Caenorhabditis elegans: one gene and its partners. The protein of the gene in region 1 interacts with the protein of each later gene in a pairwise test. Each region holds a gene or a part of one and is shown in the gene's direction. Other genes may lie near its edges.

Region 1 (10,527 bases):
TTCTTTCGAATTCACTTCAAATATTTTTAATTTTAACAGAAACGCTCTTCTTTTTAATAGTTACAGAGTTTATAGTTTTCATTATTTTTTCTTTTTTCAGCTTCGTCTCCGGCAAACCCACACGTGAGCGATACCCTCTCTATGGGAGTAGCAGCGAGTGGAATGCCTCCGCCGAAGCGTCCTGCTCCGGCGGAGAGCCCGACTCTCCCCGGCGAAACTCTCGTTGATGCGCCAGGAATTCCGCTGAAAGAAGCACTAAAAGAAGCGGCAAATTCGAAAATTGTTATTTTCTATAACAGTTCAGATGAGGAAAAGCAATTAGTGGAGTTCGAGACCTATTTGAATTCATTGAAAGAACCTGCTGATGCCGAGAAACCCCTGGAAATTCCGGAAATAAAAAAGTTACAAGTCTCTCGAGCTTCACAAAAAGTAATTCAATATCTGACTCTTCACACTTCGTGGCCTCTAATGTATATCAAAGGAAATGCTGTTGGTGGTCTCAAAGAACTTAAAGCTCTGAAGCAGGATTATTTGAAAGAATGGCTTCGTGATCATACCTACGACCTGATTGTCATTGGAGGAGGATCTGGAGGTCTTGCAGCAGCGAAAGAAGCTTCTCGATTAGGCAAAAAAGTCGCATGTCTGGATTTTGTGAAACCATCACCACAAGGAACATCTTGGGGATTAGGAGGAACTTGTGTGAATGTCGGTTGTATTCCAAAGAAATTGATGCATCAAGCAAGTCTTTTGGGTCATTCTATTCGTGAGTATAAATATTATTTCTAATTATAACATAAAGTTATTAACATTTTACAGATGACGCGAAGAAATATGGTTGGAAACTACCGGAAGGGAAAGTTGAGCATCAATGGAATCATTTGCGTGATTCTGTTCAAGATCATATCGCTTCTTTGAATTGGGGTTACCGTGTGCAATTGAGAGAAAAGACGGTAAGCTTTAAGAGATTGAAAATATTCTGAATTCATGTTTATTAATGTTATCCTAGTTTTCAGGTTACGTATATCAATTCCTACGGAGAGTTCACTGGACCATTTGAAATTTCTGCGACAAATAAAAAGAAGAAAGTTGAAAAACTCACTGCTGATCGCTTCTTAATCTCCACTGGTCTTCGTCCTAAATATCCGGAAATTCCTGGAGTGAAAGAGTACACTATAACTAGCGATGATTTGTTCCAACTTCCATATTCTCCTGGAAAAACCTTGTGTGTTGGTGCTTCGTACGTCTCATTGGAATGTGCTGGATTTTTGCACGGTTTTGGATTTGATGTTACGGTGAGTGTAAAAAACGAATTTGGAGTTAAAAAAATAATTTCAAATTCAGAAAAGCCACAATTTTATTGTTTTTTTTAATCTTAAACAAAAAAATTGGTTGTCAACTTCCTTTTTTAAATCCCAAAAATTTAATTTCTGATTTTTTAGGTTATGGTTCGTTCTATTCTACTTCGTGGATTTGATCAAGATATGGCTGAACGAATTCGTAAGCATATGATCGCCTACGGCATGAAATTCGAAGCAGGAGTCCCGACAAGAATCGAGCAAATCGACGAAAAAACTGACGAAAAAGCTGGAAAGTATCGAGTATTTTGGCCGAAAAAGAACGAAGAAACCGGAGAAATGCAAGAAGTTTCGGAGGAATATAACACGATTCTGATGGCAATTGGAAGGGAAGCCGTAACTGATGATGTTGGTCTTACAACGATTGGTGTCGAAAGAGCAAAGAGCAAGAAAGTACTGGGAAGACGTGAGCAGTCGACAACAATTCCATGGGTTTATGCAATTGGTGACGTTTTGGAGGGAACACCTGAATTGACTCCAGTTGCTATTCAAGCTGGAAGAGTTTTAATGAGACGAATTTTCGATGGAGCAAATGAATTGGTTTGTGAACTTTCAAAAATGTGGATTTAATATTTCCTTAAAGTTCGCACAACTCCTGAATGCCCAAATATCACTAAAGAAAAACCTTTAAAAAATCATTGAATTGGAAAAAAATCGCTTTGAATTACCGCGCTATTGCTGCTCTTTGGTTTTTCTCAATTTTGACGTAAATTATTTTTTGTGCCTCAAATTTTCAAGCAAAAAAGGTTTTATGTCTATAAAAACATTTACTTTATGCCAAAAATTTATCTACAATTTCCAATTACAACAATTACTTGCGTCGTGTGATGTATGATGATAATTCGAAAAAAACCATTTTCTATAATTTTTGTATTTTAGATAAAAAGGAAATGCTTTTATAGACAAAAAGCCTTTATTCACTTGAAAATTAGGAACAATTAGGTAATTCAAAGGAGTAATTTATTGACAATAAAAAAGTTTATCAAAGTTAATTAGCAATTTTTAAAATTTTTATTTTGTGTTATCTCAGCATTTAGATCCAGTCTGTGTGTTTAAATTGAAATCCACATCGGCGCTATTCCATCTTTAAAATAATAAAATTGTATATTTTCTAAAAGTTTAATTTCAAACATTTTCAGACGGAATACGATCAAATCCCAACAACAGTCTTCACTCCTCTCGAATATGGTTGCTGTGGACTATCGGAGGAAGATGCAATGATGAAATATGGAAAGGATAACATTATAATCTATCACAATGTATTCAATCCACTGGAATATACGATTTCAGAAAGAATGGATAAGGACCATTGCTATCTGAAGATGATTTGTTTGAGAAATGAAGAGGTAATAATAAAAAGTGAAATAAGTTAAACTAATATCCGATTTTTTAGGAAAAAGTTGTGGGCTTCCACATTCTCACTCCAAATGCTGGTGAAGTGACACAAGGATTCGGAATCGCGTTGAAATTGGCTGCAAAGAAAGCAGATTTTGATCGTCTCATTGGAATTCATCCAACTGTCGCGGAGAACTTCACCACGTTGACTCTTGAAAAGAAGGAAGGAGATGAGGAATTACAAGCTTCTGGTTGCTGAGGTTAAGAAGGGTCCAATTTGGGGGAGAATTTGGGTTTTGGAATGAAATGAACATTGATTTTATTTAGGATCTCTTTTTTAAAATATGAATTCAAAAAAAAAAACAAATAAACCTAAAATCTCAATGTCATTTTATTTCATCACCTACTCTCTTCAAAATTGGACCGTCGGTGGTCGCTAGTAGAGGCAGCTTTGTGACGACCTTTGGCTAAACTCCATCGTGAGCGCCTCTGGTCTGATGCGCCTCCAAAACGTCCACCACCCCTGATGATTTGTTTATTATAGTTTGCATTGTATTTTCGAATCTTCAGGGTTGTTTGTTCTTGACAATTGCCAATTTTTCTAAGCGAAAAGTTTGATTTAATTTTATTCTACTTGGCAATTTTCAAAAACGAACAATTATTCTCTTATCCAGTGTTTAAGTATGTCCTCTCACTTTTTTTTCAATTTCAATCCCGTACTTCTTCCCTATTTTTGGGTAAATCCAAGCCTTTTTCACTCTCTCTCTTAAATGCAATATTGTTTGGTCATTTTACCTTTTATTGTATGTGTTGTAAAAATAAATTGTATTTTACACCGAAAAATGTCCAATTCAGTGATATCATTATGCATGCACATCTTCCGCGTACGACAGCTTTTCCGCGTGATTTTCTGTGTTTTCTCTGTTTCTAGGCGCTCTCCAAATTTACTTTATATTTTTCCAAAATTCTATCTCGTTTTTGAATACACATATGTAAAACCGAAATAGAATGAAAAATTGGGAGACGGAGAGAGGAAACGAAAACAGAGAGAGAAAGAGACGGAGAGGAGAAAAGGCAAATGAAGGTTGCAATCTGTTTTTACACTTTATATTTAGTCTTTGTTCATTTCGAAATTAAACGCAGGCAGGCGCAGGCGGCCGATTGGAATTTCACGTCAATCCTTCCAAACTAGGTGCTTTTGGTAAATCCTGATTTTCTCTGTGCACAGAAGTTAAATTGTTGTTTATAAACTTCATTTTCTACCAAAAATTAACAAATCTGTAAATATTTGCCCCTATAACGATAATTTTAACAGAGATCGCGGCGAGACCCTCTCAAAAAACAGCGTGTGCCTTTGAACTGTCGCCGAAAAATTATTGTAAATTGTGATTCGTCATTTTGCAAGATGAGTCACTTTGAATAAAATCGTTTCAGCAAAAATGGGGGAATTTTTTACGGGAGAAAAAAAGTCCACAGATTCTCCAGTTATGGTTCATTTCTAATAATAATAGCCCAAACTTAATACCTCATAATCCAATTGACCCTTGTACCCCCGGACAAGTGGGCACACGCTTATCGATTTCTATTTCGAGGTACCACTCATTTCCGCGCGGGGAACACTTTTGTCTCTGAGTCTCCTACTTCTCCTTGCTCTTTTCCCAAACGTTCTTGGCAGAAGAACCTCTATGCATATATATCTTCAATGTTTATAATGCCATTTTCTGTTAGGTTTATAAATATCTTACTCGCAACCTCTCTCTAAAAAACAGGCAAAGAAATTATGCGAAATAGAAATTGCACACTGTTTCAAAATATGTATTAATGTTTCCTTAATTTTTCTCTCATATTGAACTATTTCTAGAACTTCGATAAATAATTCCAGAAACTTGGTATAACTTGATAACTTCCAATTGTCATCCCAATGATACCTTTGTGCCGTGAACATAACAAAACATGCCGTGTCAAGGTTAACTATCATTGGCGTGTATACAATGAGGATATCAACAAGAATGCTGTATTGGAACTCTCATGTCAATGTCAAGTCCTCGATCAACTCAGAAAAACGTTCGTCGAGTTGGGATCTTCCACCATCCATTCGGCTGCTGATTTTGAGTTTAGCTGCAGTAAGTTTTTTTTTAAATGAAATTTAGATGCACAGTGCCTGCGCGAATTTCATTGGTTATTTTAGGTTTTCCAGATACTATTCGAGTTGTTCAAAATAGTATAACACAATAATCAATATGTCCAACAAAATTTGATCAACTGAAAAATTATAATTATGAAAAATTGAATTTTATCTACGCTTCCGTTTTTCTATGAAAAGAAGTTACATCGGCTGACAAGATTTTTGAAGCATTTGGATGTGATTTGACCTGTCTAAAAATTGAGTTTTTGATGTTTCAAAACTATTGTTGTTGCACACACAGTTGACAAAAAACAAAGTAGAACAATAGAGGTTATAGGGAAAATATATCGTTTTATCAAATTTAATCTGAACCCAACCGCAGGTTGCTGTAACTTTTTCCAAAGAATTTATGATAATTTGTTTGATAACATAATTTTAGAAATCGTTAAGAGCAAAATTTTGTTAGTTGAAAATTTTCAAATCTAAATGAGCTAGTATTTGAGTTGTGCTCACTTTAAATAGAAACTACAAAAAAAGAAATACGAATAGAGTTTCAGCTGGCACTATATAAAATGTCAGTCATCTTATACCAGATATGATTTTCAGTTACCAAGGATGGCCCTGTAGTTCTGTCCAGTGGCTATGAGATCTACAACAACATTCGCCCGGAATTGAGCTTTTATCATTCTCAACTTCCTCAGCTATTTCTTCATGTCAGAATCTTGGATGTCTCGGTAATTGCCAAGTTGGATGATTTGGGTCGGACTGTGAATGAATGTAAGGCAACGATGAAATCTGACAAGGCATGGAGAGTTATGAAGGATACTGAGGTATTATTTTTCTGATTCGTTTCCCTTGTTTCTAAAAGAAAACTATATTAGATTGCTGAAGGACAACTCTCACTTCAAGAGCTTCTAGACAAGCAACAACTGGAAATCAAATCTCTTCAAAAGGATATTTCCGAAATGAAGCTTGAGAATCAGTGTCGCAAAAAAGAAGACAAAAACTCCTTCAAAAACAAGGAAGTTCACGAGGCTTCATGTGATAAGTGCCAAGATTTGATTATTGGGCATCGATTCAAGTGTGCTATATGCTACAACTACGATTTGTGCGAAACATGTGAAGCTGCCGGAGTTCATGCTCAGCATGCATTGATTCGATTGGTGTCAGAAAATACTTTGTTCCCCGAACATTTGATTGTCAAAAACCCAGAGGAGGTAAAAGATCAAAACGGTCAAGTTCAAGCAATTGCTTCTTCTCGTGACAGAGCTATCCAGGTTCCTTTGAGGAGATTGGGCATAACCCCTCAAGCCATCGCAACAAAGAACAATGTCTCGAGATATTTGAATGCACAAAGTGATCGAAACATTATTGAGGACCCATGGTATGCTCAGCACATGTCTAGCAGGAAACCGCAAACTTATGAAAGAATGCATCCAAAACTGAAAGATACAACTGATGGTAAAAAAGTTCAAAAAGTTTCTTTCCGCGATCGCTTTTACAAGAAAGCAGAATCTAGCCTCGATAAACACGAAAAGCAACTTCGATTCGATCTTTCGGCTTCACGTCAAGAATTCATCAGAGAAAAGGAAAAGTTCAGAGTTGAAAAGGAAACGCTCATGAAACAAAAGGAACAAATTGAAGAGATGATGAAGCAAGAAACTATAAACTTCGAAACGAATAGGGCTTTCTTTTCGGATCGTTTTGAACCGATTTTTAATAAAGTCAAAGATGGAAAGAAAAGCGAAGATGATACTACAAGAAAAGTCGAATTTGAAGTTGAAACTGCTGAGAGCAACTATCCCGGATCTATTTTTTCGGATGAAGATTCTTTGAGTGATCTTGCTGAAATTCTCAAAGACATTGAAGAATATGAGTGTTCGTCTGAGAGCTCTGATGACCAAGAGAAAGACGATTTTGATGTCGTTGAGGAAGAGGCTAAACAATCTTAAACGTATTGTTGAATGTGAGTTATCATCCCTTGGTTCAAAGATATTTATCAACAATTTCAGATAACAAAAACAGAGGATTCAACTTCCATCTTGTACTCTCAACCAGCACTGTAATTCCAATTCAAAAGGACTTTCCAAACGATAATATGCATTTCAATATTCTCATGAATCCTCCAAATATTTAAAAAATTGTTCAAATTGTTCATAACAACTTTCTTATCAAATCAGAAAACTCAGACTGTTTTGCAGAATTGCAAAAATTCAAATATCTAAATTTTTCCATTGTACTGTCTTATCTTTATTTTTTTATTTTTTCTGAAGTCTAAAATTGTAATTTTCCAATTTTGTGAATCTTTTCATTTCGCATTAATAAAATAAATTGAAAATCAGAATTTAGCTTGCCAATATACATAAGAATAGTGAGACAGGGGAGGATAAAAAATTAAAAAAAAAAAAGAATCTTTAATTGTAAAGTCTGTAAACTTTATGAATTCATTTTTAGATTCAAAATTAAAAAATCAGATCTTAAAAAAATGTAAATGTCAAACAAACCTTCTAAAACGACATACGTTTCTACTATTATCCAGAAGATTAATTTCGCGAGTTTCGTCCCAAAAGTACGGTACCGGGTCTCGACACGACAAAAATCGATGAAAATTCTGCTGCAATGAATTTTTGAAGTTACTGTATAAAAGGCGCACATCCGTTTTTCTGGGAGTTTTGTTTGACATCTAGATACTTTTTAGATTTGATTTTAATAGTCGTTTCAAAAAATATCCAGTGCAATGTATCTAAAAGGATTGTTTTTGCAATAGATCCTCGGTTGAACTTTTGTTTTAAAACGAATTGTTCCAGACACACCTTGTTGACTTGAAAATATTTGTCCTTTTTTTTCAAAATAAACTTTGTACTTCTTTTCGTGTCTTTCTGAAATTTTCCATCTATTAATCAGATTGATAAGCTGGGAAAATATATTATTTTCATGTCGTCTGCCAGGTGTCATGTGTGTTTGACACGAGATAACACATGAAAACATGAAGGTCATTCAGTCGTTTTCATTCGAAATCGACGAGACCAAAGGTTTTGTGGCAGAGTTTTACTCGTACCAGAGACATTTTTGTACTCTAAGAAATCAAAGAACTTTTCAAGATGTTCTCCCTCGGCTTTTGTTGTGTACTGGGTCCCAAAAGCACCATTTGTTTCATAAATTTATTTGTTTTCATTCATTCATTTTCGACTTTCTGATCCGAACACTAAAAAAGGAAAACATGTACCCAAACAAATGCAACCCTTGTCTTCTCTTTTTCTTTTTATTTTTTTTGTGCTCGAGAGACGAAAGTGACAAAAAAGAGAAGAATAACATGAAGAGACAAAATATTTACGACTTGAATAAGGAGTTCGAGGAATGTTTTTCCACTTTTAGCTCGTTCTAACGTTGCCACATATACTTGTAATTGTCGTTTAGTTTCTGAAAAAGAGCAATTTTTGTAGAAAGTGTGGGAAACTCTGGATTTAAACTTTAAAAGTTATCTGGAATTACTGGCTAATATGTGTATTTCGTGAAAGTGTTCCTGCGAAAGTATTTCATCAAAAATGACCACTCTTGAAAAGCAAATTTTAACAATTTCAAGCCCGTTGAAAAGTGAATCTAGTTTTCTTTGCCAACTTTACATTAATTTTACTTATTCGGAAAACATATAAGCCATGCAAACGTTACATTATTCCACTTTACTTTTTATTCCCTCTTTTGTAGTCTAATATTTGAATATGCTTACCATGGTCTTTCTAATAGTATTGCATCCAACTTGTCAAAGTGAAACAATGTGGTGCAATACTAATTGATGAAATACGGTATATTAGGCATTTCACCCGGACGAGGCAGTATGGGAAATTCAATTTCACGTACATGATTATTTGTGAAGGCCGAACTTTTAGCTTGAACTTGTGGTTACTTTATTCCTAATCAGATTACAAGATTAGGATAATCTTATCATTTTAAATTTATTCGATAGTTTTCTTCGCTTCGAGATGGTTTGGTGGATGTGGTGGTTGATTTTTCTTGTCATATGGATTATGTTGATTATAATTGGAAACGGTGAGATCGATCAAAATGAGTTTTTACAAATCTAAAAATATATTGTTGACAACGCTCCATAATTATATTATGAAACGGACCACAAATCTGACGTGCGAGGCTGTAAATTTCAGTGGATAATTGAATTTCATTTCGGGTGACCAAAAAATTCAAAGGAAGCTAAAATATGTGTCTATTGTCTGGAAAAGTTTCTGGATTGGGTGGAAAAGTTTCGAATATTAAATTGAAATCGAATTTTCATGTGAAAGTAAAGTAACTTGATACTTTGAAAGCTTTTCACTACATTTTTTGTTTCAAAACATAAATAGTCGGCAAAGTTTTCGATATTAGATATCTGCTTCTAGTCTTTTTTTGCGTTGTTTTAAATTCAGCCTACAAATTGAAACAAATCAGCATGAAACCTTATTGTTATTTTCTCCGTGCCGTCACTTCTCAGAATACGAGAATTGACATCAACTAATCCCAGACTTTTCATGTTTTCTCGTCATTTTTCTTGTTTTTCTGCTGTTACGCATTCTCCTGTTGTATTTTGTCGTTAAACTCCTGTTCTGTTTTAAACTTTTTTTCCATTTTTAGTCGCTCATAGTGGACTTTTCAGGACAGTTTTTGTAGCGCAGAAACAAAAATTACTTTGTAAACTTTGATATTAGACCATAATATCTATTTGAAAAATAGAAATTAACTACAAGGTCAATCAACGATTAGCTCCGGTTTTTCTGAATCAATTAGAGCTGTGCCAATTTGTTGATTGGTTCAGAGGTATACGAAGCTAATGCTGATTGGTCTTGCAGTTCGCAGTTTGGAAATTTGAAAATAGAGCCAAGGAATAAGGAGGTACAAATAGCAATATTTTGAAATGTATCTTTGCTTCCTGATTTTTTTTTCCCTTCTGGTTCTGCAAATACATCATGAGTTTGAACTATTTAGAAAATACCTAAACTAGTCTATTTGAGAACTTTATTGTTTTACAACTTCCTTTTTTGATACTTTGAACTTCATATTTCCATCTTCCGTATTGCTCTTTTCAAAGAGCTCTCTCATTATTTTGACTAAATTACCCTTTTTAGGCCAGCCACATTGAGCTGGGTTTGAAAAGGTTTTTGAACCATTAGAATTGTCTTTCTCTCTCGTTATGTACCATCAATTATTTATAATATAAACCTCCTTCTCTTATCCACACATAACCTCACATTTTCGGTCATCTCTCCGGTCACGAGAGGCGATGACCATCTGCTCATGGCCCCTTTTTCTCGTCAATGTCTCTGCGTTTCCTATGATTCCATACACTCTCTCTTTCATTGCTGGTTTTTGTTTGTATCTCTAAGTCTGATATATTTCACTTCAATGCATTGGGTCTCACTTTTCGGTGGGTTTGGTATTATTTATTTTATGACGAGAGTGGATGAGCGCTTGTTCTCACTTTTGGTAACACGTTGAGCTTTTCAATGACGTTATCTACATTCCAGCTAGTAACTTTGAGATTCTAATATTTACTCAAAAGAACCGAAAAACGAAGACCCATCACAAATTGGGAGGTGCTACAAGTTGTGCCAACTTACGCACGACTGAACTCGTATTAGTACCGAGCTTGAAAATTATTTTTAAAGCTGAAAATGTGTATACAGAAGATATTTCGCCATAAATAATGTATAAAAACTGAGAAAA
Region 2 (11,882 bases), on another chromosome or scaffold:
CTTAAACGGTGAGGTAAAACAATCTGGGAATTCGATTTTTAAACCCAAAATAGCTAGAAACCTCCGAATTTTGTAATGAGACGTACTCAAAATTCCTCAGAATTACTGAAGGCGGTTATAAGTACTGAAAAAATGACTGTTTTAAAATCTCCAATTTTGCAAACTTGACAAAATCAGAGCCTAAATCAAAAAACAGGACGTAATTACAAAATTACGCAATAAAAACTTACATCCACAAATGGTCGCGCAAAATTTCTAGTAAATCGAGTAAAATTTGAGATTTTAGTGAAAATTTACATTTTATTCAAAATTTAGAACCGCCATACCGTTTTTGAAAAAAATTTCAGAACGTCTTATCACGAAATTCAGTAGTTTTGAGCATTCTGAACTTTCCAATGCTTCAAAAATTTTGAAAATGACATACGCGAGCACGCGTAAAAATTAGTTCCAAATAATACATTGAAATTTTAAAGGACGCTCCAACTCAAGATGATATGCGCGACTCATCAATTTTGGGATCACACTCGAGAACTGCGTTAGATGATGTACCACTTTGCAAGGGGAATAGCAAGTAAGTAATTCGAATGTTTTGGAACTTTCATTTTTTTTTATTTTGGGAATTTCAGTATTTGCCGATTCATTTCGTGTTCTGCTGAAAACTTCAAAAAAGATCCGACATTTGGCAATATACAACTTGCTGCTCAAATACTTGGAGATGCTAAGCTTAGAAAAACTATCAGCAGGTACGGTTGTGCAAACAAAAAAACAAATATAATAAAGTGTAAATCAAATTTCCAGTAACTCTGATGCAGTTCACGCTGTATGCAAAGAACAAGGCATGGATGATGCGCAGTGTAAATTATTTTCCAAGGGATTCCAATTGATTGATAAGTATGTTAGCTTTAACATTGAAACTTATAGAAAAAATAAGTTCAGGTTCATGACATCTATTGAAAAGCCAACAGATGCAAAAGGCGGTGCACCTCCATCCACAGAACCACCAGTGACATCGATCCCCGATTTTGATGAGCCTACTGATGATGAGCCTCAAAAACCAATGATGGACGATCCTGCACAATTACAAGACGATGATAATAGAGTATGGTTTTCTTTTTCTCATTTTAGAACAATGAGAATATTATTAACAATTTCAGAAGCGCTGGGCGGATTATGATACCCCATCTATTACCCCGGTGATTCCCGTGCAAACAGCACACGGATCCAAAACGTGGAGTAGCAACCCTGAGACAAGTATGTTTATTTCAAGTAAGCTTTTCATTATATTTAAAATATTTACAGAATCATTACAACCGCTGGAAATCAGAAATGATCTTGTCTCTAGCTGGACTCAAATGCCATTTTTCGCGCCTCCAACTATTCCACCAGCCCCGCCGCTTGCTTTCAAATCTGTGCCTTCACTAATTTTACAACCGATTCAAGCACCACAGTTGGAGAATGGAATATTCTTCTCGACAGATAAATTCAATTTCCTCAAGGTGAATAACAACTTGAATTTTTAAAATCTAAATTTTTTCAGGACTTCAATCCGATCAAGCGATTCAGACGATCTCCTGATTACTACGATCAGATCGACGAAAAGAAGAAACCTTCAAAAACTTCTGATTCATCTAAAAAATCGTCTGGCAATACTGATGATTACTATGGAAACTTTGATAGTGACATAGATGAGAAAGATGAAATTGAAACCACCGGTCTGAAACAGTGCGTCCATTTTCTGGGACTTGGTGTATAGATCTTATCCACATATGTACAGTTTTTCTATCATTTCTTATTTTTTAAAATTTCAGTTGTTTGATTGACGGGTGTAATAAATCAAGATTCTTTTGAAATGAAAAACTTACTGAACGCAAAATTGGAAAAAAGAAATACTCTGGTTAATGGTCCTGTTTGGAAAATGTGTGATTTGATTTGGACAATAGGGCAAATTTGCATATCGATGTTTTTTTCCAAATCTGTTAGTGGAAGAACTGACTAATTGACACATTGTGACTGTATGTATATAAAAATTTTGATACTTCTGGTTTTTAAGTTTGGTTATGAGCACGTAACTGTAAACAGTTTTCTCATTCGGCAATATTCTATTTTTGAAAGAAAAACATTTTTTAACACTTTAAATAAAATTTAATGGCTGAAACTTTCGTTGTAAATAAATGTTGACAATTGGTGAAATAGTTCAATTCGAAAAAGTTTTGAAACAGAAAACTTATTTTTTAAAAAATCTCTAATTGCCTTTGGGATCACAAATGAATAGAAATTATTGAATTGAATCAGAAAAAGAAACAATTGAATTTTCCGAGTTTGAAATACAATTTTTGCGAACATTTTAAGAAGTGCAATCTCTTGAAGGAAATAACTTATAATTAAAAAGCTCAATGATTTACAGTAAAACGGTTTTTGAAAGAGAACTTTATCAAGCTGTTCTTTTCAAAAAATTTGACAGCAACATATTTTTTGAATACCTAGACTTGTCGTAGTTTGGTGTTTCCTGCTACACGGCGAGCCAGCAATTTTCCTGCCATCGAGCCCCCACACCGAGTCCAACGGTCGCAGACAATCTTGTACACGTGTGACCCATGGAGCGTAAAAAAGTAACAGTAGACTAGGAAGTGCGGTTGAGAACAAACAAGGAGCGGCATTCAGAGGAATCCTGAAAGTGCAGACGTTGCTTCTTCTTCGATTCCCAATCTAAGTCCTTCCATCCCTTGATGCATACTATTAAAAGAAAAAGGAAAGGTATGTGACGGGTTCATTGTTAGTCGTAAGAAGTGTACCAATTTGGGTATACCAATTCGTGCCAATCCAACGGGAAAAATAATAGAACGATGATGGTCGGGAGATGTTGGAGTAAAAAGAGAAGGAGGAGGAGGAAGACGGAATGTATACTTTTGAGATGATGGATATACATTGTGGGATGGAGTATAAAAATTGTTTGGTACGTGCAATCATAGCTGGGCTCCGTCCCTGCTCAAACGATTGTACATTTCCTTCCGTCTCGAAAGGTGTATCTGTCGACAATACAAGTAATTGAGCTTCCTTCTCTTATCCCATTCGACCCCACCCCCATCATTCCGTCCTATGAGACATTTTCTTGTCTTAGTCTTTAGACGACAACTGGCAACTATTCCCTAGTTTTTTTTTCCAATTTTAGATCTCCTTGAAACATCTTTTTTTATTTTTTCCAGGTACCTTGTCAAAAACCATTAGCAAACTGCAGCTCAAAACCATGGAAGACGAAGTAAGTCTTAGAAATGGTACTGTATTTTTCAAATTTTTTTCAGCTCGACTCGGATCTCTACGATCGTGTGAGCTATTTGAATTTGATGGACAAAATCGATACTCGGAAGAAGACATCGAAAGTGGGAAAGTTCCGCGATGAGTAAGTCCAGTTTTTGTCATGTTTTCCAGAAACATGCACATAAGTGACTTCCGGGAGAAGAAGTCTTTTTTGTTTGCTTAATAGTGTGCCAAGCAGTTGTCATATTCGGTTTTCATGGAAGTTTCGGTTTTCACGTTTTTTAATGATGTTGTGCTGTTTTTATATTCATTGGTTGATAGTTTCTGATTTTGAAATTTTGTTTGAAAATTTCCAAAATGTGAATCTGTAACTGTGAGGAAGTATAATTTTAATTTGTATTCCCCCAGAATATACTTTTTCAAAAAATACTGTTGCCTCAGAAAATAGCCAAACCTAACAAAAGTAAACCGGTTCACTTCGTTCCAAAAAAAATTTATTTTTCGTAATATCTAAAGATATATAAGACGAGAAGAGGAGAAAAACAATGAAAGCACTTGGGGCACCTCGATTTAGTGAGCCACCAAAAATCCAGGAAGCCTTTAACGCTGCCCCAACATAAAAGCGAGTCTGAACGAGGAGGTTGAGGAGGAGAAGCAGCACACAAAAAAGTCGAAGATAGCTTTCTATTTAAGAGCATTTTTGCTCCACCAAACCTTCACTCAACCATAGGATTATTGCTCGAAAAAGTGAGGTGTACGGCGTCGGTGCCCCCGCCAACCTTTTTTCTCTCTCGCCCCGTTGCTCCGAACCACCCCGATTAACCCGAGGTCAATTTCACTTGCACTTGAATTGATTCGATCCGAACTCTGATTCAAGTTGCAACTTACTTGTCTATTTCATTTGCTGGTTTTTTCAAATCTATTACTGTACAATGCATCGCTCAAAGTCCCGACCGGTATCTAGGATGTCAAAAAAATCGTATTTATATTCAAGCTCAGACGAAGATAATGGGTATCCAGTCGGTATGTCTTTAAGCATTCTATTTGCGTTTCCCTTGTGCTAATATGCTTTTAAAAAATTTGGAAACGGATGCAGTTTTTTTGTTGGAAAACACCTGAAATTTTCCCGAATTACTAGTTCCGCCACCATGTTTTTATTTTTACACCGCGCAGACTTGTCGAATCTAACAACTTTTGCCAAAACGTCTCTAGCCAGCAATTGTGAGGGCTCCTGCCAAATAAGCTGTGTAATTGTCGAATATCATAAAGAATGGGGGCCAAAGGACGAGCACAATAGCATTTTTTAGGGTGGGGGGAACTATTATTGTTTGCGGGGTGCCTCTCCTGCGCATTTTTCTGTTTTGTACCCATCGTGACTGGTTTGTAAACATCAGAACCTTTCACTTCTGGCACTTTTTCCGGCTGCTCAAGTTCCTGGCACCCCATTCATTCAGCTTTTCCCCCACTTCTAATAATATCGCGTCGAATTCTAGAAAATCAGTTCCATCAAGCACCATCCTCGTCCAGTAGTGGATTTTTACCACCATTGAACTCTAAAGCAGTGTCATGGATTGATATGGATGACTATACAATTCTGCCAAGCCCCGACGAAGCTCCATTTGATCACAGCGACGACGAATATTTCACCGGAAGACGACTACGGCAGAGAAAAGCACCCCGGACGGGAAGATCGGTGACAGCGTCTGAATCGATGAATCAGATTGCAGACTTTGATTTCAGGTTTAGAAAGTGTTGAGTGTTGCATCCTGTGCTTATGTTAATCTTATTTAATTTCACATACGCTTTTTTTGAATATTGATGAAATCGTTTTTACCGAGCTCAAGCAAAATTGAATGCAAAATTGAATCTTAATTTTGAAGGCTCTAAAAGAGGGTGTTAACTTATAAGATGGATTTCAAAAAGCAAATTCCATCGTAAAAGTTTTTTGAACATTTTGCAAAAGAGTTGATATTAGGATTATTGCTGTAAGTTGCATATCTCTCGCTTTTTGTTCATTATTTAGATATAATTGCAGTTACCAATCTTAGTTTAGCCATATTTTTAGATCGTTTGAGCCCCCCTCGAAATATTTGAAAAGTATTCAAAAGGTCTTATTACGTAATTTGACACTTGGATTCATTTTCAGTCGAGTATCTTCGATATGAACTTTAATTGAAATATGAACATAATTTTTGACTGAGCTCAATTTAACATAAATAAATTCATTTGGTTCGTTTTCAGTTCTGACGCGCCTTCTCCAAGACTTGACGCTTCAGAAGCCATGAGTGCTCCTCCAGATCCGGATATCAAGGTTCGAATTTTTTTTCACTCCCAAAAAAGCTTTTTCCGTTTTCAGCGCTACTGGGACAGCAGTTTAGACATAACTGATCTGAGTGGCCACGATTTCACTATTTTCAAGCAACTCCAAGGGATGCTTGGAATTGAGAACATTTCATTCGAAACTCTTGCTCGTTTCAACGTTCGTGTCCAAACCGACACCTATGGTCAACCTGCCATTCTTTTTCCACGGTATCGTGGAATGACTTCCCGGCTACGCATTCCAATGGGTTTGAAGTTGATCCGTAAAGTTGGAGACAGAATGGAAAAGGAGAACTATCCACTGCCAGATGAAACTTCGTAAGTAGAAATTCCGATGTCTTCCTTCATAGTTACCCATTTCCAGCGTTCGCCAAAAGTTCAATGGAGTTTTCGGGCTTCATATGGCAACTCTGTCAGATCGAAGTGTAGTCATTACCACAAATGAGCGTGATGCTTTGGCGATCTACGAAGCCACCAAAGCTCTGGTATTTGCTCTACCACATGGAGAAATTTTGGATCCACTCGTGCTTCCGTATCTGGAGGAATTTGACAAGATCTATCTGTGGTTCCCGGTTCAGCATGTCAGTTATGCCAAAGACTGGGGAAGTGCTTTGAACACCCTCAAATGTCTTCTTGTGAAGTGAGTTTATGGTATTCAGTAGGACTATCATGGAAGGCGCGGATTGCGGCGTAAGACAGGTGGCGTTCCGGAGCCTGCTTGGAAGCCCTAGTATATAGAGAACGTTCGGAAAACAAAACCAAAAGAGTAAGTTCAGAAACGAAGAACGCCCAATTGAATTGGTTCGTAATGGTGATCATCGGCTCATTCGGAACTCACTATCTAACTCGGTACTGTTGCCATTTTGTTCTTGTTTTTTTTCAACTTTCATAGTTTAGGTGGTTCGAATGAGAGAGCGTGGTTTCCGTTCAATGACAGATTTAGACATGCGTGAAGGAATCCGTTCAGACCTTCTCAACTCGACAAATCGCGTTGTTGGATTTGGACAAGTAAGACGAAAGGAAAAAAGATAAATTTCGGTCTAAATAATTTGTTTCAGTGGAAACGATTTGCTGTTTTGAATAAGTATCTTGGCGGGCTTCGGCCAGGGGAGATGACAGTTTTAACCGGAGGAACCGGCAACGGAAAAACTACATTTTTATGTGAATACTCATTGGATCTATTTACTCAAGGGGTATTTTAAATTTTAGCATTAGCTGAGTTTTTCTAATATCTCTGGTTTAATTCTAGGTGCGCACGCTGTTCTGCAGTTTCGAGATGCCTGAAAAGAAGATCCTCCATTGGATGCTTGTGCAATACGCTGGGTATGATGATCTAGTGTTTTTTCTATTGTTATTCTATTTTATTTTTCAATGGCTTGCAACTTTTTAACTAACATTTGTTTTTGTCTGCAGTCCTTCACATCTTCGAAGCCTCGCGCGCACTAACTCATATAAAAATGGCATCAAGTAAGAATATTTAGAAGTATTAGGATCTATCTGGAATAGTTTTTGTTTTTTCTAAATTGGTTTTTGAATATAATAAGTGAATCAAAAACTATTTCAATAATTTCCTTATGAAACCAGTAGCCAACTAGACCTGTTATTTATTTTATTTTACCACCTCACAGTTTTGAGTTGTAGAACATCTTCATTTCTCATTCACTGCTCATTTTGGTTACTAGCTAGTGCTTTTCGTGGTGCGCGAGGCAATTGTCGATTATCTTGAAAGTGTGTTTTTGCACGGTAGTTTGTTCAAGGAAACGGAAATGGGTATGTGGATGAGTGTTGGCATGCTTATTCTGATTGTGCCCAGACATCCGTAGCCCATACACAACTCCCAATCAATCTGGTTCAGACTTCCGCTGCATCGAGTAGAGTATAGCAACTCGATAAATTCATGGTTGGATAGATTCGAGAGATCGAGTTCGGCGTTGACAATGCTTGACTCCGAAGAGTTCATGGAGAAGTCCATAAATGAAATAGTCAGAGTAATAATAGTGGAGCAGGGTTTGAATCATAAAATACCATTTTAGGCAATTCGTATTCACGTTGAAAACAGTGGTATCCAACATGTTGTCATCGATAATCTCCAGTTTTTGATTAACCAAGGAATGATGGCAGATGAGAAGTCAAGTGGCCTTGATAGATTCCACCTTCAGGTTATTTCTTTTTACATCAACTTACAGTTTTGGTTCATAAACTAACATTACAAGAAATGGGAACATTTGGTTTAGTAGGAGAAAAACTACAGTGCGCCCAATTGCTGGGACCCCCCTTCCATTTGAGCGGTTTAGGGCATTTTGGAACTTTTTAATAGGAAAATAATATGGGAATCGGATTCAGCATTACAAAAAACCTCTGTGTCAACAATTGTATTCGGATATCCCAAAAATTGGGAGCAAAATGGCAAAAAGTTGAAAAATCGACCGCCCAACTGCTATCAAGAGGGTGTTTTTCTGGACCTCGTAAATATTATGACACTTCTCCAAAAAAACATTAACCAGTTTGTTGAGTATCATTACAAAATTTGTTCATATTTTGAAAATATATGTACATGCAAAAACCCAAAACCCTTAGTCCTCCTCTAAACATATAAATCTTCTTGAACCTTCGTTTTCAGGATCGATTTGTCGGATACATGCGTCAACTTGCTACTCAGAATCAAATTCACATCACTATGGTTGTTCATCCCAGAAAAACTGACGGTGATACTGAAATTGATGTGCAACACTTTGGAGGTTCCGCCAGAGTCACCCAGGAAGCTGATAATGTCATTGCTATTCAGCGGAAGCGTGATGATCGTGACCGTTCCAAGTTCCGAAAATTCTTATACGTAAGCTTCTAGTAGAATGATATGACCATCCAGGATTCTATTACAGATTCTGAAAAACCGCTACTATGGCCGACGAGTGGAGAGCGATCAACTTGAGATGGTTTTCAACCCATCCACCTATTCTCATACAGTTGTAGAGTTTCCAAAGTAAAATTTTCTTCTTAATCAAATTAATTTTACAATTTCTCCAAGTTTTTCGAGTGTCATTATTCAGTTCTATTTTTTAAATATATTTTTCTGCTTTTTCCTTTCTCCCTATTACGCTGATACTTGATGAAGAAATATACCTTTTCTCCTGACCCATTTCATCCACCTTCTCCCTCCGTAGGTCACATATTATTCTGACGTCTTTCCCTATTTTGTCCGATCTCGAAAACACTACCGCGAAAACACAAAGCTTCTGTAGTTTGCAAATAAATAAATTTTTCATTACTCGACGATGAGAATAAAAAAATGTTGAATGAAAGCGAAATTGGAAATCAAGAATCGAAAACAAAAAATTAATCAAAATTTGTCACATGTTTTTTCGTGGAGGTGCAGGATGAGGCGGAGCAGATGTGGGAAGTATCCGAATTTGTGGCTGTAATTTTTTTTTGTAAAAAATTAAAGGTTTTCTTTTAAATATTAACAACTTGCACTTACAATTGGAACATAATCACAGACGGTTTCATTGTTATCATGACCAACGGCAAATACTGTCAGCCCGAGAAGAATTACTATTCTGGAAAAAAAAAACATTTGAATATTTGAACAGCTCTAGAAAAACGACAAGAAGCTTGAATAAGTGGCAATTCTGACGAAGATATGTGCTAAGCCGTTACATAATTCATTGAGTTTGCGTGTGTTTAGTTTTGAGAAGCTGTCAAAAAGCGTTTTCAGGAAACAAATTTATTCAAAAAATGGGCGTTGGCAATTTATTTTTGGCTGGAAAAATTTCAAAAAATGGAAAATTTCGAGTTTTCAATGTTTGAAGTTATATGGAATTTGTTAAAAAGCGCTTTTGTGGGGAAAAATTTTAACAAAACGTTTAAAAAATTGTCTGTATTTTTAAAAAATTTACTGTCAAAAAAAAAGTGGTTTGAAAATTTGGCAAATTACCAAAACTCTGAAAACTTGTAGAGATGTTGCTTTATCATCATATCATCGTTATGATAATTTTGGGGCAATTTGAATAGGTATTTATTTTTAATATTAGAACATCATATTATGAGCCATTCTCCAAGAAATTTCTAGTTTTCAAAAGGACATTATTCTTGACCAGAGCGATTAAACAGTTAATTTGCGAAACTGTGTGTATTTGTAAAAAATACAAAGTTACACAGTTTTTTTTTTTAATTTTGAAAATGGTTTTGACAATTTTCTGAAAATTGTATCAGCTTCAAAAAGTTATTCAACAAAGATCAATTAACACACAATGACAAGGAATGGGGTTTATCTCACGAAAGTTAGCTCAAATTTAAAAGCACTTTTACAACCCTTCAGAGTAGCGAAAAATACATTGAAAAATATTCATTTTTTTGGTTCATTTTTCTTGTTCAAAATTTTTCATTTGCTGCTGAATTTTTCGTTGAAACTTGTTTAAACTGTCCTTTCAATTGGCAAAGACTTAGTTAGATCGGAAATCGAAAAAAAATTTGCTGAAGTGCTTTTCTTGTGAGCACTAAACGTTTGTAATTTCTCAAAATGTTTTGTTTCGAATTCATACGCAATGGACAAAAATAAAAAGTTTAATTGACTGTTTAGCATTTTTGTGTTTCAAAAATTCATATAGTTTAGTAAGTAAAAAACTTACATGGCCAATGCAAGTAAGAACGGTTGGTTAAATCCGAGTTGAGAAATAACGGCACCCATCAAGTTGGTTTATTATGCATCATTCAACCAATTCTGAATAAGTGATCAATTGTGGAATTACTCATAAATCTCAGCAATGTCGTAAATCTTGAGGTAAGTAGAATGGGACAAAAAAAGAAAGATAGACAATAAGTTTGGCACTATACCAAAAAAAGAAAGGTAATAAAACTGAAAGCAAAACGTACGGAAATCGACTGGAAAAATACGAGAGAAAAGTGCAGGCTTGGAACAAGATCATATTACATGGTAATACGCAGATGCGATTCGGTGAGGTCTTTTGAAAGATGGAGGAAATGGGTATAAATTTGATGAAACTTGATGAAAATTGTGTAAACGTAACAAAGAAAGAGATGGGAAAAGTTTTGAAGGAAAAGAAGAATTAATTGTTTACGTTGAAACACGCATTCAAACAAAAATAAAAGTTGGGAAAAACGGAAAGCGGTCCCCGATAGACGGGAAGCCAATCTAATGTGTTTATAAATGGAAAATGGAAAGGACCCTGTGCGCGTTGGTGAGTTGCCAAAACCTTCGGAAGTGAAAAAGGACAAAAAGGTAGAAAAGAGGGGAAAAGAGACACAAAAAAGTGTACGAGAGCAGCGGCAAAGTGGCTAGAGAGTCAGAGAAATTTGATTTATTTTAAGTGAAAGCTTGCGCAACTCTTTCAGCAGCGGGATTATTGAAAATCGCGCTAATTAGATGAGCTCTCACCTCTCTTTCTCAGGCCGTGAAGAATGTGAAGCTCATCCTTCATAAATGCTCGTTCGCGTAATGCACATGTCAGATTAGTTGATGTCAGCTTTGAGAGAAAAGAACTCATGAGGGAAATGTGTCAATAACGGGCGAGAAAAATATTAATAGAAAACGGGAGCATCTATCAAAAACATGACAGATTAGAAAAAGTTCGAAGACAGAGTAATAAATATTTTAATTTTATGACAAATCATTTTCAAAAAATAGCCTGAATTTGTATTAATTTGCTATTAAAAACTCAGAATTTATCTATCATAATTTTTTCTATTATTTTTGATGTTCATATTTGAATTGAAAATTCACAATTTTTATCTAGAAATTGTAAGCATTTGAACATGTAAAACTTTTCAAAATTACTTGAAAAACTAAAATATTCTAATAATTTGGATTTTTATGTGTATTTAGAATAGATCGGCACTATCTTACCTTTAATAATATTTGTTCAGTTTTTTTTACAAAAAATGTTAAAAAATGAATGTTTGAAAATTCGGGGGGTTATTTTAAAAGTAAACTTGAAACTTTTATTATTAAAAATTGAAATTAAAAATTTTGAAAACAAATTATTTAAAGTGCCCAATCAAAGGAAGTTTTGCTAAAATAATTTACCGTATTTCTTCAATTAATATTGCAATTCTATTGTTAAACTTTGCCAGTTTATATCTCAGTTGTCGCTTGTTTAATTTCAAACTGGAAAAAATTGTTTTTTTTATCGTTTTTATGTATATTGTTTATTGATATCTTCGAAGTGATAGAGGGATGCAATACTAGTAGCAAAAATACGGTAGGTTTCGAGTAATCAGTACCGAGAGTTAAACAAAAAACTTCCTTCTCAAAAGTTCCATCACGAAAAGTGTCTCAAAACTACTCTCCTTGT
Region 3 (8,995 bases), on another chromosome or scaffold:
TATCTGTAAGTAATTCATTAATTAATAACACTGGAACAACACAAAATTTGGCGATCTTACCGAATTCGGAGAGTTGGCTCAACAGCCCTAAGTACATGTATAGAATCTTGTCCCAAGAACGCAGAAATCAAGTCGTTCCGTCTCTCATTTTGACCGAATTTAGCTCTTGCTGTCACATAATCCACACCATAAACGGCGAAACAAGAGAAATCTTGAGAATCAAATCGTCCATGTTCTTTTTGTACAATCAATGTTCTTTTCCTTTTTGGTTCAACTCCATCTCTTAATCGTGATAAAGCAGCTTCACGAGCTTGTTCTGTCGGCGTCTCTTTTTCTTCTTTTTCTGTCATTTCCATTCCAGAGATTGTCGGATGATATTCAACAAATGGAACTGGGAAGAAAACTTGATAATGTTTAATCGTATTGATACGAGCTCGATCAAAGAACTCTTTTTGAACATCTGCATGTGGAGAAAGTAGAAGATAGATTGTATTGGCTCCGTATCGATCCACAGCATCATCCAACGCAGCAGCAGCAGCTGTTCCCTTTCCTTCTGTACTAACAGCAGGATGTACTGGAAGAACATCTGTTTCCAAAAGTGATCGCTTGCATCGTCGCTTTAATTCTTCCATATCATTAGTGATAGCAGTCACTGAACGAGATTCGATTAATGGGAAAACGGCTACAACCATTCGAGTTTTACGGGCTTCTTCTGTGGGGAAGAGACAGAGGCGAGCTTGTCTGGCAAGAAGTTTCCGGGCTGGGAGAACCTACAATATATACATATTTTCAATTTGTTTATATCAAAACAATTAAAAATGGGAACCAATTTTTTTTTGAAAAACCTTTAGAAAAACACTTTTTGTATGTTCAACAATATATAAGTTCTAATCAAAGATGTTGATTTTCGATTTTACACTAAAATATTTCGAAAATAGCTTTAAATTTTGGATATTTTTTAAAAATAATAAAAGTATATTTTTCTCATGATTTTTCTATCAACATAAACAATTTTTTTTAAAATTGAGTTTTTGTTAAAACATTTTTTTTATTTTTGAAAAATCGAAATTTTATAAACATTTTTCGACAATCCCTTCTCTTTGTGGTTTTCAATTTTATAAAACTAACGTCTTTTTCACTAGCAACTGGAATAACGACAGTGACATCTGTGTCTTCTTTCACATATGGTGCCTGGTTCATAAGCTGCGTACTTGCAATCATTCGACTAACGTGCACTCTTCTTTCCACAACAATCTCTTTGAGACTTTCCTCATGTGCAGCCTGAGATTGTAAACAAATTTATAAACTTTCAGAAAATCTGTTTCAGATTTAGATTTAGATATTCTAGAACTTTTATTTACCTCATTATCACTTTCAAATCGATTATCAACTTCAGGCATTTCATTGACAGTCTTTCGATATGTCAAATCAACCATATAATCCATTCCTCTCCGTGGATCAAAAACTCGATATCCATTTCTCAATTGAACAAATTCAAGCTCTGGTTCTTCTGATTCAACTTGCTGCCGAGCAGCCACCACAACTTCAGCAACATCATCGAAATCTTTTCCTTCAAGACGTCGAACATTTTGATTAGGTTCACTTCGAAAGAGTTCAGTCATCGTAAAGTACTCCCAAGTCGAAACTTGATACCGATTTGGTGGTTTTGCATACGGTGGAAGTGCTGGTGGCCAGCTGATAGCTTCTCCTGTTTCACGAGCTTCTTGCTCAGCCAGACGAGAAAGTTCAGCTTCCATTTTGATAATTTCTCGATCAGCTCTTTGCATTTCAACTCGAACGAAATAATCATGAAGTGCAGATGCATCTGCATCAGAAAGTAATCTTGGCACAGCAAGAGCTCTCTTAAATGCTGGTGAATGTTTCCAGTCCTCAATCGAGTCATGAGCAGCTGGCGAATCAGCTCTCTCGGCTCCTCGCCAAACTTCATAACGAACTCCTTGATGAAGCGGCTTACATGTCAAATTTGTTGCGATTTGAATGCACTTTTCAAATGCGAGTTGATCGTCATCGGCTGCCAGTGCGAAATTGTTGCAAGCATTCCGATTGCTGAAAATATTCAGTTTAAAACACTTTTCAGTTTATCATAATGTGAAAATTTTGATTTAAAGCTTACTTCATCAGAGCATGCATTGCTGGCTGACTGAGCAACATTCCAGTATCCAATCGGCATCGTCCACTTCCATCTTCAGCTGCTTCACCCATCACAACTGGTTCATTCCAATTCATCTGACAATTAACAACTATTTTACAAAAACAATTACTGGATAAAATACCGTATCAATCATTCTGAGCAAAACGAATGGGTTGATATACGTCGAATCTTTGGCAAGTAGAAACCAGTCATAGTTGTTGTGGACTGTCTGAAAACATTTTATTTTTAATCAGGAAATGCAACTCCGACAGGAAGAAGCCAAAAAGAACAATTGAGATACTCTGAACAGGGGAATTTTTACACCAAAATCGACTTTACAACATGGGGTAAACTTACTGAAAAACATTCAATTGACAATTATAATTGATTCTGAAATAGTTTTATGACTTTTTTTTTTGAAATACGAGTAGTTGACAACTACATAAAAAAACATTTTTGAACAACTCAACTAACCATATTGAAAAGGAGACCCAAAACCATCGAATGCGTCTTTTGTCCGTTTAGTTTATATGGACTCAAATTGGTTAACTGGGCCAAGTCATTGTCGATTCTTGAAGAGTCAGCAAACAAATGTACACGTGGAACATGGCGCCCAAGAGTTGCATTAATAGAAAGAGCCAATGCAGACTCAGCCATCACTGCGGCCATAACTCGTTCACGTGTACCGAGTTCAGTGGCTGCAAATCGAGTTCTTGTAACCTTTGGAGTAGCGTCTTGATTATGAGGAGGCGCTGGCATATCGTCTTGGTGAACCTAAATTTGATTCTTTCATGAAATTTTGTGTTTTTTTTAAAGCTACTCACAATCCAATGCTCAGATAAATCTTTATATACTCGCCCTTTCTCCAGTGCCGATGGTTCAAGAACATTCGTTTCTGTTTCTTGATTCTGACATGATGTAAATGCAGCCAATGAGCTGGTCAAGTCTATACTTGGTGTGGATGAAAAGAAGAAGAGCGCGAGAGCGGCACCTATAAGGAATCCAAGAAGCAAGTGTATGCCTGTTCGACCGCCGCCGACCATTCTTCGATTCTAAAAAAGGAATAGAGAATTATTAAACTTTTTTTCAAAGCCGGTGAAAAACGTACCAAACAGTCAGCAATACGCCTTGATACAATTCCAATAACGAAGTTTTCTTGTGAAGAAGCTCTGAAAATTTACAATAAGAAAGTGAAGTGAACAAGAGCAAATAGTGATGTTTGAGCATGAATGAGCAGAACACAGGTTAACTGATCAAAGAAAAGCGTGAAAAGACAATACGGGTTTATGAATGAATGCAAAACAGTCGTCATAGAAGATGTGTGTGACAATGCTCGTAAAATGATTGCAGGACATGTGAGTGGAGCGACAACCTTCTTCGGTATGCGATGCAGACGGAAGACAAAAAAAACGAGAAGAGGCTGTGATCGACGCCGACGTTGTAAGAAGGTGTTTGAAGAGATAGTCTTGAGTTGAAAGAGACGCAGACATTATGTTCTGTACTTGACCTGACTAACTAAGGTCATTTTAGAAAATTTAATGTTCGAGGACAGTGAAACCGTTAATAACATGCTATTTTGAGAATGTTTTTCTAATTTCTTAATTTTCAAGATTTTATCTCAATTTTAATTGAATTAGGAAATTAAGTTCGAAATATGACAGATAATTCGTGGGAATAATTAAAATAACATATACATTGGAATTATGAATATCTTTTTAGTAGTTTTAGAATGAACATCTAATAACAATCAAATATAGGAAAATCCGAAATAAGATTTTGAATTTAACGGAATTTTGATAAATTTTATTGGTTTGAATCAATAAAATTGTAGAAATAAAGTGGTTTTTTGCAGTGAAACTTAAAAAATAAAAATAAACCGATGACAAGAGAAAAGCGAGAGAAACACTGAGTAAACTGTGCGGCGTGTTTGCGGAAATCGCGTGCCAGGCTTGCAACAGTGCGCGATTCAACTCCGCCCACAAAAAATGCAATTTTATTTTTGCTTTTCCATATTTAACAGTTGTTTTGAGCCCGTTTTTATTTGTAAAATGTATATACTATGTTTAAATCTTTTCGTTGAACATTTAATATTGAATTTTTAAAAATAACTCATATTTTGCTCAATCGATAAACCAAAATTATAGAAAATGCTTCGTTCACTTTCCACGATCTCCAAGTCTACCGTCCGCTGTATGTCATTGACATCCAAAATGGCTGCTGAGCAACCGAGCAAGCAAGAGGTAAGTTGAAAAACAGCGAATTGTGCAATTATGAAATTTTTGTCTGTTTCAGGTTGATGACTTGTTCGCTGAAAAACCACAACATCATAACCCAGAACAAAGACGGCATGCATACAGGTATGATATGAGTTTTACACAAATGTTAAACTTGCATTTTTCTGAACTAGGAGATTAATAATTTGTATCAAAGTTCCTGCTAGAAAAAATAAAATGTCACAATTTTCAAAAGCACAAACGCAACGATTGACAATAAAAATTACTTATTAAAAAGTCGTTCGAATATTGTTGTAAAATAGCTGTGAAAGATACAATTTCAATTTTGAAAGCATAAAAAAACAAATTTTGAATTCAGATCATATCGATTCAAAATTTATTTATTATCACTATTTCAGTGTGAATAAAGTGGAACTAGTCGGAGGAGTCGCCTTGGATCCATTGTACAAGACTGGAAGGAACGGAAAACCTTACCTCATCTTCAATATCATCACCAACTCGTACTTCAAGCAGCAAGACGGAACTACTCTCGATCAAACTGAACGTCACGCCGTTTCAGTTTTCGGAAAGCAAGCCGAAATCCTTTCAAAAACCATCAAGAAAGGATCCCGTCTTATGGTTCAGGGGAGACTTCATTATTCTGGAGGACAGAAGGACGAACAAGGAAACCGTACACAACGCAACACCTACATCATCGCTCAAACTGTTCAACCATTGGCTCGAGCAGCTAGAGAGAATCCAGATCAACATTAATTTTCAAAATTTTTTAAATATTTAGAATCTCCGATAATAGACCATTGTTGTTGTTTTTGTTGACGAGTTATTTACCTGATTAAACATTATCTCATATTTAAAAAAAAAAGTTTTATTTGATTGCATACCTGGTTTTCTAACCATATTTATTATCTGATCGTTCTTTGAAAGTTCAGCTAAATCAACTTTTGATAAGAATCGGAATTCACTACACTGTCAAAATATTGATTTTTCGTTTTTTCCTCATCATTCCGTCTCTCGCCAGTTGTTCCTCCGAAACAACACAATATCCCTCCCTTTTTCTTGTTTTCTCTCGGGCACTTTGAGCCAATGTTTTAAATTGTTGAAGCAGTTTCACACGATTTAATCGATTTTTTTGTAGAATTGGGAAACCATGAACCGATCTGGACAGCGCTTGATTGTCTCTGCACCTCGGCAGATCGCCTTTTCCACTGCTGTCAGGTATGTGATTGTTTTTTGGTTATGCATTACGTGCAAATAATTATATTTGAAATCATGTTATTTTTTAAAATTTCTATATTCTTCCGAATTGTTTTTTTCCTCCACTATTTTTCTATTGAGATGTTGTTTATCATGTATTCCAAATTCCTAAAAATTGTAAGATACTTTCTAAATAAATTTCCAAACCAAAAACTAGATTAAAAAATCTATGCCATCATAAATCTTTAGATATACCGTATTTCCATTAGTATTGCAGTCTCTAATAGTCTTGCACCCGTATTTGCAAAATCAGCAATATTTTGTGGACACATCATAGAGGATTCGAGTAATTTGTCATACGATAAATATAATTCTAGGTACTGTATTATCATAAGCTAAGGTGATCATGTGAAAATGTATACACTGGGCTTGAATGTTTACTAAAAAACATGTCCATACTCAAAAAAATGTTCATGTACTCTATAATCAATCTCTAAAAAGCAGTAAAAGTTCGAAGTAATTTGATACGATTGGGTAAAAATGAAATGTACATTAATTTTTTGTCAAAACACATTTAATGTACATTTCATTTTTTCACATCATATTTGCATAATAAACGGATACATATTCTCAAATATCTGTTTGTATGATATTATCACAACTGTTAGATGTTAGCCGTACTAATTGATTTTCCGAAGAAAACTTTGAAAAATTATAAAAATTGACACAAGTTGGCATTGAAACTAATTTTTCCTGTTAAAGTTACACCATTTTTTCTGTTTAGAAACTGTCAGATAACATACCAATCTACCTCAAACCGGTTCTGGTTGTGTCTTCCGCTGTTTCAATACTTCCGTCAATCACTATAAACCGGTTTTTCTTAAGAAGTCATGTCCATTCTTGCTTAGAAACTGTACGATATGTTGGTTCGAAAGAGTTGACTCATGGAGCTGGCTCCGCGAGCTGGGGGATCGAGAGACACGGGGATTGAAAGACGCGGTGAATTGAAAGACGTGGGGGATTGAGGGATCGGAGACCTTATTACTGCACTTAGGCTTACGGGTGTGAAAGTTGCTTGCGGGAGCGTAGAACACCCGAACACTACTCATATAACATCGACCCCAGTTCTCTTATTAATACCAATTTCATCTAAATTTTCATTCAATCCCCTTGAGTTCTCTCTTCTTTCACATCTTCATTTGCTGGGTTCTTTGGAAATTCGTAGTCAGCTGTTATGACTAAGATGTCGTACCAATCATCATCTTTGGCGTGAGATTGCTGAAAACTCATTTATTTCAATATGAAAATTAAGATTTAAAACTTACTGTATCGAGTGGTGGATGGATGGGAATGTCAGCCCCCTTGTTCTCATGTGAATCACCAATTGAAGGACCTAAGTCCGTAAGCGGAGCACTAATTGATCCGGTTCCATTGCCACTATTCTCCACTCGGTCGGTAGTTTTCTTTGCTTCGCAACCGATCTGAAAAAAATTAGGGTTTTTGATAATAAATATTAAAATTTGAACTACTTTGAGCTTTTCAATGTTATTGTTTTTCACCTCCACCGTTGAAATGTCCATTTTCTGTTGTTCTGGTTTTCCACGTATTACTTTAAGCTCGTTTTTTTCCATTTCCTCGGCCGTATTGGATTTCTTTGATCGTTTCTTTGGAACACGCTTATCTCTTTTTCCTCCTTCTTTTTTTTTCTTTTTTTTCTTTTTGTTGTTTCTTATGTTTCTTTATAAGTTTCGATTTGGGTTTGGTGTGGTTTTGAACGTTTTTATGATTCCTGAAAATAAAACCTGTGAACTTAATTCCTGAAATTCCTATAAACTCACTTTTGTTTTTTTTTAGGCGCAAAATAGCATTCCAGCAAGGACGAGCAGGAAAGTGATATCGAGGATCATCATCCTAAGAATGAACGTTTTTCATATTTTCACACCTTATATATCCACCAAATGGAAAGAGGAGGGAATTAGATTTTTTTTTTGGAAAACCAACCTGTTGGAGCGACGATTGCTACCGGCTTTGGCTTCTTATCATTTTTAACTGTTGGTTTCTTTGCAACTTTTGCTGGCTTTTCACGAGGCTTCGAGTAGTCTGATCTAATCTGAAAAATGTTCATTAGTTTATGTAAATTTTTGAATTCCCACCACATGCGGAGGCTTTTTGACGGAAGGTGTGACGGAAGGTTTGACGGAAGGTGACGGAAGGTTGACGGAAGGCACGACATTCGAGTTTATTGTACCGGAACCGATCTGAAAAAAATTAGGGTTTTTGATAATAAATAATAAAATTTAAACCTTCCCGCATTCTGCGATGCGTGCGGGTCCTCCATTTCCTCCAACTTCCTCCATTTCTACTCGATTATTGACAAGTGCACAGTTCTTCACTTCAGTTTTCTTTATCATTTTTTTTTGTGTTTATGACGAGCTCTGGAAATAAAACCTGTGAACTTAATTCCTGAAATTCCTATAAACTCACGATCTCTTCTGTTTCTTGACAGTGCAAGAGACAATAAAAGCTCCGAAGATTAAGAACAAGGAGAAGTCACAGAGAAGCATTGACAGACTGAACGTTTTCCCATATTTTCACACCTTATATACCCACCAAATGGAAAGAGGAGGGAAGGTTACGTTATAATTATTTATTTTGTATGTAAATTAACTAAACTTTTTTAATGAACTTAATAAACTATCAGACATTTAACCAACACGTAGACTAGAAAATATCTGATTTGCCAGGCTTCGTAGCGGGATGAGGCGTAGAATCCTATAAGAGCAAAGCTTATAATGCCGTTTAAAAATAGTTAAATAAGAACATGCGCATGCGGCGCTCCTATTCCAGTTTTGGCAAAAAGCGTCATTGTTTTTGCTTTCTTTGTAAATCAATGCAGTACTAGTGGTCGAGCTTTTTCGAATAATTCCATCGAATGTCTCTCTCTCTCTCTCTCTTCTCTCTCGCTCTCTCATTCTCATTCTCTCGCTCTCTCATTCTCATTCTCATTCTCTGTTCTTTCTTCTCACTGCGACACGTTTCAGTCATGCCGTTTTGAGAAAGAAAACGAAGAATTAATGAGAATATGAACTTTAAGACCAACTGAACTTATAGTATGAGTTCTTTGGATCTCTCGTATCCATTCCATTTCGTTCAATTTTCAGTTTTGACTCTTCCAAGATTTCATAGAAATATGGCATGATTCACCTGAAAATTTCGCAATCTCCCATCAATTCTTTTCACTTTTTCCTGGAGATTTCATCTGTCGACCAGACCGTTATCAATCACTTTTTCACAGTCTCACTCTATTTCATTTTATGAAAATGCCGCTTCTCTTGATTTTTATCGATATTTTTTCATCACAATAAAATATTCGTTCAATATTGATTTTCAGTGCCTTCAAAGGTTTAAAAACCTG

What was found.
Region 2: the proteins of gldi-4 (region 1) and twnk-1 interact in a two-hybrid assay, tested with the Caenorhabditis elegans proteins (one large-scale study listed by BioGRID).
Region 3: the proteins of gldi-4 (region 1) and mtss-1 interact in a two-hybrid assay, tested with the Caenorhabditis elegans proteins (one large-scale study listed by BioGRID).

The regions. Positions count from the first base shown.
Region 1 is NC_003282.8:7,013,054-7,023,580, forward strand, and holds gldi-4 (ZZ-type domain-containing protein), read left to right. Parts: upstream 1-4,572; 5' UTR 4,573-4,611; coding exon 4,612-4,813; intron 4,814-5,421; coding exon 5,422-5,645; intron 5,646-5,696; coding exon 5,697-6,767; 3' UTR 6,768-6,781; intron 6,782-6,827; 3' UTR 6,828-7,157; downstream 7,158-10,527.
Region 2 is NC_003284.9:5,788,500-5,800,381, forward strand, and holds twnk-1 (SF4 helicase domain-containing protein), read left to right. Parts: upstream 1-4,831; coding exon 4,832-4,995; intron 4,996-5,098; exon of another isoform or gene 5,099-5,237; intron 5,238-5,306; exon of another isoform or gene 5,307-5,427; intron 5,428-5,496; coding exon 5,497-5,566; intron 5,567-5,611; coding exon 5,612-5,892; intron 5,893-5,938; coding exon 5,939-6,214; intron 6,215-6,350; coding exon 6,351-6,423; intron 6,424-6,471; coding exon 6,472-6,582; intron 6,583-6,632; coding exon 6,633-6,767; intron 6,768-6,823; coding exon 6,824-6,897; coding exon of another isoform or gene 6,898-6,924; intron 6,925-6,987; coding exon 6,988-7,041; intron 7,042-7,055; exon of another isoform or gene 7,056-7,199; intron 7,200-7,429; coding exon 7,430-7,562; intron 7,563-7,607; coding exon 7,608-7,733; intron 7,734-8,194; coding exon 8,195-8,407; intron 8,408-8,453; coding exon 8,454-8,558; downstream 8,559-11,882. Other genes in the region: F46G11.2 (uncharacterized protein), read left to right, coding at 474-571, 627-743, 799-891, 937-1,099, 1,155-1,251, 1,300-1,496, 1,538-1,753; F46G11.4 (Inner membrane protein), read right to left, coding at 8,922-8,987, 9,050-9,128, 10,200-10,258.
Region 3 is NC_003281.10:8,764,015-8,773,009, forward strand, and holds mtss-1 (Single-stranded DNA-binding protein, mitochondrial), read left to right. Parts: upstream 1-4,296; 5' UTR 4,297-4,299; coding exon 4,300-4,392; intron 4,393-4,444; coding exon 4,445-4,509; intron 4,510-4,784; coding exon 4,785-5,139; 3' UTR 5,140-5,229; downstream 5,230-8,995. Other genes in the region: Chondroitin sulfate synthase mig-22, read right to left, coding at 1-3, 61-770, 1,129-1,281, 1,362-2,067, 2,135-2,247, 2,295-2,381, 2,627-2,926, 2,977-3,195; K02D10.2 (uncharacterized protein), read right to left, coding at 6,742-6,858, 6,906-7,061, 7,110-7,211; K02D10.3 (uncharacterized protein), read right to left, coding at 7,320-7,369, 7,582-7,690, 7,734-7,838, 7,884-7,937.